2 linked regions of the Arabidopsis thaliana genome follow. The protein of the gene in region 1 interacts with the protein of each later gene in a biochemical or structural test. Each region holds a gene or a part of one and is shown on either strand. Other genes may lie near its edges. The genes, in order: AT1G48150 and MPK10.

Region 1 (3,592 bases):
TTAGGCTCGCTGAGTGATTTCTTTTACATGCTCTACAACTTCTTGGAGAATGCTGTGATCGTCTATGCATTTCTATTCGCAGCTAACTTAAACTCTTTTACATAATTTTTTACTTTAAAGGACAAATGAAGCATATAGTAAAGATCTTGAGCCTGTTGGTGGCTATCTCTGCCTTCTGGATTGGTCTTTTGCAGGCTGCAATTATTCCTCGAAGCCATACATGGTTGGTGAGTAACAAACAATTTTGTCCTCTTTTTTGGTTTCTTGCTTTTTTGAAATTAGGATTCTGTTCTGATTTGGTATTATTGCCGGTCTGTCTTACAGCTACCGATCTACTTTGTTGTATCCCTCGGATGCTATGGCCTATTAATGGTTGGAGTCGGGCTCATGCAGTTTCCTACTTGCCCCCAAGAAGCAGTTCTGCTGCAGAAGGTACTTTTGAGACTAGCTCTTTGTTTGCCATAGTCGGCCTTGTTCTTATTTTTCATCCTGCTCTATACGGATTCGTGTTATCTAATGTTGACATCCTTCAATATTTTTGCTAATTTAGTGTCTTTTATCTGTTTCTTTGGTTGCAGGATATTGCAGAGGCTAAGGACTTCTTCAAGCACAAAGGGGTAGATGTTGGATCGAATTGACACAAAGGCTTTTATCAGACCATTCATCAGAGATATTTTTCGTTATTGACAAAAGACTTAACTGTACTGTTTGGAATTTTTGAATTTAACAGTGTCACTGAGGTAAAACGCAAAAGCTTCGTATGCATCCAAAAGTAATCGCAAAAGTATAACAAATATTCCAAATTGCAGAAACTTATTAGTAACAATAGAAGCATTTACATTTTCTTGTGGTGAATTACCATAAAGCTTTGGCCTTTGTGTCTAGTAAGTTCTCCAGGTATGCAAAAGAGATCGCATCAACAGATTGAATCAGGCTATCCTCTGTACGAAAACTCTGATATGCAACACACCAAGAAGGTATTAAGTCGCTCATAACTGAGTAGGTTTCAAAAGATACAAATGAAACATTTGGAACCAAACCAGTTTTTAAAAGATACTAAGCAGGAAAATCAAAAGACACTGAACCAAAAAGATCATAAAGATATGACTTTGATATTCAACTTGCATTTGCCTTCTCCTTTCTTTATCTGTCCACAACAACACCTAATTCAAACCAGCTGCTTTTCTGTGTGTTTATGGCTCTCCTTTCGTTCAACCATGCCACAGTTCTTTATGCCTTAAGAATACGCTCCTCTATCGACAATGCTAGCACATTCAGCTCTTGAAATCTCTTATCAGTCTTGTCATTGTTATCAACATCACCTTCACCAAAATCATTGTTTCCCTTTTCAGAGTACTGCTCATTGGATTTCATAGTTTCTTCACTTCTGATGCTATCATCATGAAGCAAACAACAATCCTGTCCCTCATTTCCATCCCCTACAGCGATGTGAATGTTTGACTCATCAGATGACTTCAGAACCTTATGCTTATATGCTTTTCTTGTTTCATCTCCATTCGTGCATCCAGAAGCAAACTTTTTATGAGGGCTAGATTTTTTTTGTTGTTGTCTGCCTTTAATGCTAGCACCTTCTCATGCATTGATCCTTCCATCAGCATCTTCCTTCTCTGCTTCATTACATCAAACACTTTGGTTCGAGCTTGAGCTCTCCTCTGCTGACCCTTCAACAACTTTGTTGGAGCTTTTTTTTTGTGTTTGATCTTTTCTTCTTACTGTTTATGGTTGTTTGTCTGATATTGTTGTTGTTGTTTTGGTTAAGGAGGATGTGGGTGCTTGTGTTGTATTACTCTCCAAGTACGATCCTGTTTTTCTTCTTCTTTTCTCTTCTCTCATGCATAATCTGATTCTGAATTTATAGTGTTTGTGTTGATATTTGATGATAACAGTTGTGATTAGATGCAATAATCTTGATGATCTTAATGAAAATGTTTGTTTGGTAAAAATTAAAAAAATTAAGTTTGACCGAGTCACATGATAATACCGACATTAGTATTATCTAATCTCTATATATTTGTGCTTTGCCTCTACTCTCTTTTCACTCTCTCTTTTTCTCTCGATTCCATTATCTCTCTCTGTAAGACACAAAACAAACCCTAATAATGCAGTCGTCGAACGTAACTGATTGCACAATGAGGAAAAGAGGAACAAAAAGAAAGATTGAAATTGAGAAACGCATGACTAAACAACAACGATCCGTCGCTTGCAGCAAACGCCGTCCCACACTCTTCTCCAAAGCGGCTGATCTTTGCCTTCTCTCCGGAGCCAACATAGCCGTTTTTGTAACTTCTCCTGACGAGAACTCCGATGTCGTTTATTCATTCTCGGGCTACTCTCATGCCTCTGAAATTGTTGACTGTTACCTCAACAACAAGTCTCCTCCCAAGACTACTATTAACCCTGAATCAGCCAAGTTTTGGTGGGAAGAGCCCGATCTTTACCGTGATTGTGACGATCTGTCTGAGTTAAGAATCATCGAAGATCGTTTGATGAGAACGAAGAAGCATCTCATGGATTATCTTGAGAAGAAAGAAAAATCACACTCTGTTTCTAAATCCGATCAAAACCCTAACAACGACAGTGGGTCTTCTTCTTCGTCTTCTCAAATTGCTTCTGATTTTGGTCAAAACCCTAGTACCTTGTCTCCGTCTTCCTTAAAAATTGTTTCTTTTGATCAGAACTCTTACTCCTCACTTGAGCCTTCGTCACAAGTTACTACTTGTTTTGATCAAAACCCTGTTTTCTCTGTTGGCAGCGAGTCATCATCTGATCAATCTCGTTACTTGGTGAATGAAGATTCTGGATTTGTTGACGGCCTCTTATGTGAAACAGAGGAAGAGAATAACGGAATGCGTCTTCCCCAAGAAACACAAACACAACCGATGTTCACAGAGGAGGATCAGAGCTTTTGGGAAAACCTAGATGTCGACGACGTGTTTGGTCTTTTTAAGGACGACAACAATCTTGAGGTTCCTCTTCAAGATCATTCCTCAACCAACGAAGACGACGAGTTATTGATCGACATAAGTGAATACTTAAGCGAAGAAGCAATGGAATGCCCATGTTTTAGTTAGTTCTCACAGCTTGATTAAGCACGATCTCATAGTTAATTACGGTTTTAGTTAGTTCATTAGGTAATTACCATTTATGTTGTTGTGTGTAACGATCTATAGATATCTGTTTTATCTCAACTCTTTTGATTCTGTAATTTCGATTTTGGTTATGGCTGTGGTTAGTGAGACTAATTGTGGTGAATTACAATATCTTTATGTTCCCTTTTTAGGCATTCTTTCTTGTCTAATGTCAATGGATGATGCCAAAAAGAAGAAGTAGAATGGTGAAAACAAAGTAGCTTAGGGTTGAAAGAGACGATGTTCTATTTGAAACATTGTTACACCTGCAAACACCTTTGTGTTCTTCTCAGAAAGTTAAAGAGATTAAAAGCCATAAAATCTGATGAGAGAGAGGGAGGGCTTGGCTTGTTTTATCTCTTCTTCTTGCCACCTTTGCCTGACTTTGAAGAAGTTCCAGAGGTTGAAGTTGTGGCCTGAGGTTCCTGCTTCTTCGCTTTCTG
Region 2 (4,436 bases), on another chromosome or scaffold:
GAAGAAGAAAAGCAAAAAGAGAAAGGTGCCTTCTAAAAGTTTAGCTTATATCAGATAGTGTGAGGTTTTCTAGCTTATGCTAACATGAACCATGATCGGTTGTGTTATGAATTTGCAGCATTATTCGTCCTCAGAGTCGTCATCTAGCAGTGATGAAGATGAATCTAGAAGATCAAGATCAAGTTCGAAAAGATCAAAGAAGGAGAAGAAGCACAAGTCCAGCAGAGACAAACACTCTAGCAAAAGTAAACACGAAACCGATGGCCCTGTACCACTCTCTAGATTCTTTGGCAATTTGAAGAATTGACAAAAGCAAAACTGCAAATGAACTATTACAAAGAGTAAGATTGTCTTCAATCAAAATACTCAAAGTAGGATATGATTGCTTTCTTCCTTGTTGCAATGTTATATTTTTGACAATAGCTCATGTATTAATATTTGTTGGATTGAAAGTCGCAATGATGCCCACAGAATCATGGTTTTTCAGTTTATTTGCTTAAAAATGAAATTTGACAACATCAAAAGGGAATCTAGCAGAAAATCTTAGCACAACAAAATTTCTGAGAGATGAAAAAATTAAAGGAAATGAAAAGGGAAATTATTCAAAGAAAAGCAGAGAAGGAAAAGAAAAAAACAGAACAAGGATCAAAGATATGGTCCTTTTCAATCATTGCTGGTTTCAGGGTTGAAAGCTAGGGCTTCACAGTAGATTAACTCTCTAAACTGCTCCTCAGAGAATGGATGTTCATCTAAATCGAAATTGAAGGGCTCTGAGCACTCTGGTTCATCGGTAATGTCGTGAAACGAGCTAAGGTATGGATGAGCAAGTGCTTCTTTAACTGCAAAGTGGCAAAACTGATGATAAGAATCCAAATAAAACTGCAGAAGAGGCTATATGGAGACAGAAACTGACCTGAGATTCTCTGTTTAGGATCAAATGTTAGCATCTTCTCCACCAAGTCTATTGCTAAGGGAGGCACGTTCGGGAATTTCTCAGTGAAAGATTGGCGAGGAAGCGTAGGAAGCTGCCTTATGTATCGCTTAGCGTATTCACTCAACGATCCAAGCTCTTCTTCAGATGGAGTGCCAATGAGCTGCAAAACAATGTCCCAAGACTTTTTAAGCTAATCATGAATCACAAAAAACGAATATGATCTTGGCACAACAAAGGGTTTTACTTTACTACCTCCAGAAGCAAACGAAGCTGATTAACTTGATCTTTCCCCGGGAAGAGCGGTTCACGGTTCATTATTTCCATGAAAATACAGCCAACAGACCAAACATCTATTGCTGCGGTATAGTCAGAAGAGCCCAACAGAAGCTCAGGTGCACGGTACCATCTTGTGACAACATACTCAGTCATTAAATTACTCTCAGGAGTTGCACGAGCGAGCCCGAAATCACAAATCTTTAAGTCACATTGTGTACTCAAGAGGAGATTGCTTGGTTTTAGATCTCTGTGTAGCACATTGGCTGAATGAATGTACTTTAATCCGCGCAGGATTTGGTACATGAAATACTGCCAAAAATTTGAAGATTGTGTCAAGCTCACTAATCAAAATGATTTTTAAGTTTCAAGAAACAATAACTCTAAACACACACCATGCCATGATCTTTGGTTAGTTCTTGATCTGATTTTAAGGTTCGATAAAGGTCAAACTCCATCAATTCATTCACAATGTAAACATCTTCGAATGAATCTCTCTGAGGAGGCAAGATTACGTCTCTGATTGCAACAATCTATAGAAAAATGATATTACATAGTTAGCTTTTAATGAATAACAAAATAAAAGAAAAAAGGTGAGACAATAGTTATAAAATCAAACGAACATTCTCATGATCGAAGTGACGAAGAAGCTTGATTTCACGAAGAGTTCTCTTTGCTTCGATAGTGTTATCAAATACTTGCGTTATTTTCTTTATTGCTACCTTCTCATTGGTCTCGGAGTCCACAGCCGAACTGTAAAAAAAGTTAAAAAGAAAAGTAAAAACTAATGTGTCAAGTGAGGAAATTTTAAAAGTAACAAGAATAACATAAAAGTCATGAATGGTATAATAACTGTTTAGAGATCTCTATGATAGAAACGATTTGAACTTTTCTCATAAAAAGATGAAACTTATCAACCCAAACCATAAATTACACACAAAAATGGTCATGGCATCTACATTCTAAAGTGCTCAAAATGATTAGGAAAAGAAATGAAACTATTAATTCTGTTAAAAGGATATTACCAAACGATGCCACAAGCACCTCTGCCAATAGGCCTAATCGGTGGCTTATACTTTGCGGGGAGTTCAAAGATATGCCCAAATAGATTGTACTGGATGTATCTGCCGTCATGGCTGAGAGTCCCCGGAATATCGATAGTCGTCTTGAGGATTTGAGATGACGGCCAAATAGCGGTTGTAACCTCTCCTTGAGTTTCCAATGTCTCAGCATCGTTAGTTGGCTCCATGGTTTTCTTTTTGTCTCACACAACCTCAAACTATTCTGTTGAGAGAAGTGATGTTTTTGCTTTGGTTGGGTTTAGTGGTAGTGAACTAAACTTATATAGAGTGGATATGTGTAAGTATGGATGTTTAAGTCCAGGTCCAGGAGGACCCAGGAGATATGAGTTTTGATATATTTTGATAGTTTTAAGGTAAGTTTTTTTAACTTATAGGAATTCTGCTGTGAATTTCCTTTTCCATATGGAAAAAAAAAAACTAAATAATCTTAATATATTTCCAGCTAATGAATACAAAAAAACTAATTAATTTATGGAAGTGTATAAGTGAGATGATTTTAGGTAAGTTGTTAGAAGAAGATTTTTTGCTTTTCATACACCCTCTTAAATTAAATGCAAACATGGCAATACAATTTGGATACATACTCTTCATATTCATTTCCTAATTTGTGTTCATTTTTGTAAACAATTTTCTGTATTTTCATATACTTTAAATTTAGTATAGAATAATATTTTTTGAAAAATCAATTTACTTGAAATTTTAAAATATATAGATATTTGATATGAAGTTTCTATGTAATCACCATCACTTACAAAGAAACCTCAAAAATATTATTAATAAACATAATTCAAAATAAGTCTTACCATTTATTATTATTATTATTTTGTTATTATAATTTTTTTTAAAAAAAATAATACTATACTAAGTTTGGTAGTTTTTAAATATGTGTATAATTGGTTTTCATTTTTTATTTACAGGTTAATAAAATATTTGTTTCCTTACCTACAAAATATTATCCCTTCTGCTACACTTAGCATGTTTGGGTGATGATGGGATTCGTTTTTAAGTAGATTGCTGGGAATAGCAAAAAAAAAAAAAAAATCTACAACAAATTTATGAGATCTAATTTAGTTAAATGTGTTATATATAATATATTTATAAGAAAAAAATAAAGTTCATAAGATTTAATAACAAAAATGACAGTCCAGCAATCAAATGATAAATCCACTGCATCACCACTTCTGTATTTTATCATTGTTTTCTATTTGTGCTGATAAATAGAAACACCACACACTTCTGCTAATGTCGTTCGTTGATTTATCATTGTCCATTCTGTTTTTCATTTTAAATGATAAAAAATATGCTTACACATTGAAATAATGTAGTAGTGGTCGATAGACATATACAATGTTTAGTTAATCTTGTCAAATTTTCTAAGTTTCTGATTAGTATTCTTTCGTTTAGAAATTAAAACGCTTGCAAATTCACAACTTGCATAAAATTAGTAACTTGCACATACGTCGACGGGAAAATTCACAAGTACAGTAGGGAAATTAGGTAAAGAGTAATATAACGATGCTATATGAAAAGTAAAAATTCAAAGCCACGAAAGTAAGATCAAAACTAGATGGAAATACAGTTTTTTAAAGAGAAGAAACGTTTTCACTCGTCGTCAACTTCATTGATATGGCTTCAGCAGCTGAGTGAAGTGTACGAATACGGTCAATCAAGTTAGCTTTCCTCACATTCAAGGCCAAACAAAACTCGATAGGAAGAATGTAAACAGACACCACTAACAACTGGGAATGTGATGAACTAATTAAAAGGATACAAATCTAACAACAAACCGATACTTTGGAGTGTTGTATTTGTTCTTGTCTTGATTAATAAGACGGATTCTGGCACGATTATCAGTCTTGCCATCTATATTAAGAAAACACGAGAACTGTCACAACAAAATGTTAGCTTTTGATTAAACAAAAAATAAATGTTTCTATCTGTGTAGAATGATTACCTCTTCTTCTCCTGGATTTGACCTGACCCCTGAGTCAAGGATGACGATTGCTTTTTCACTAAACCCTAAGTATGCCACTTTAAGGCCTTCTGTTATTGGGCCTAAAGCCCAAAGTTATTAGGGGAGAAATTGCTGTAATAATTTTACGTGTAACCTATAACTTTTGACCCAATTTAGCTAGTTCTAAATTTGC

The links.
Region 2: of the proteins of AT1G48150 (region 1) and MPK10, one has a biochemical effect on the other in vitro, tested with the Arabidopsis thaliana proteins (one large-scale study listed by BioGRID).

What each region holds. Positions count from the first base shown.
Region 1 is NC_003070.9:17,783,277-17,786,868, forward strand, and holds AT1G48150 (MADS-box transcription factor family protein), read left to right. Parts: upstream 1-2,120; coding exon 2,121-3,092; downstream 3,093-3,592. Other genes in the region: DPMS3 (dolichol-phosphate mannosyltransferase-like protein), read left to right, coding at 126-227, 325-432, 579-638; AT1G48145 (plant mobile domain protein), read right to left, coding at 1,231-1,536, 1,590-1,637; AT1G48160 (signal recognition particle 19 kDa protein, putative / SRP19), read right to left, coding at 3,503-3,592.
Region 2 is NC_003074.8:22,090,468-22,094,903, reverse strand, and holds MPK10 (MAP kinase 10), read right to left. Parts: upstream 2,505-4,436; 5' UTR 2,457-2,504; coding exon 2,233-2,456; intron 1,961-2,232; coding exon 1,831-1,960; intron 1,741-1,830; coding exon 1,603-1,740; intron 1,520-1,602; coding exon 1,187-1,519; intron 1,095-1,186; coding exon 914-1,094; intron 840-913; coding exon 664-839; 3' UTR 501-663; downstream 1-500. Other genes in the region: AT3G59800 (stress response protein), read left to right, coding at 1-25, 119-307.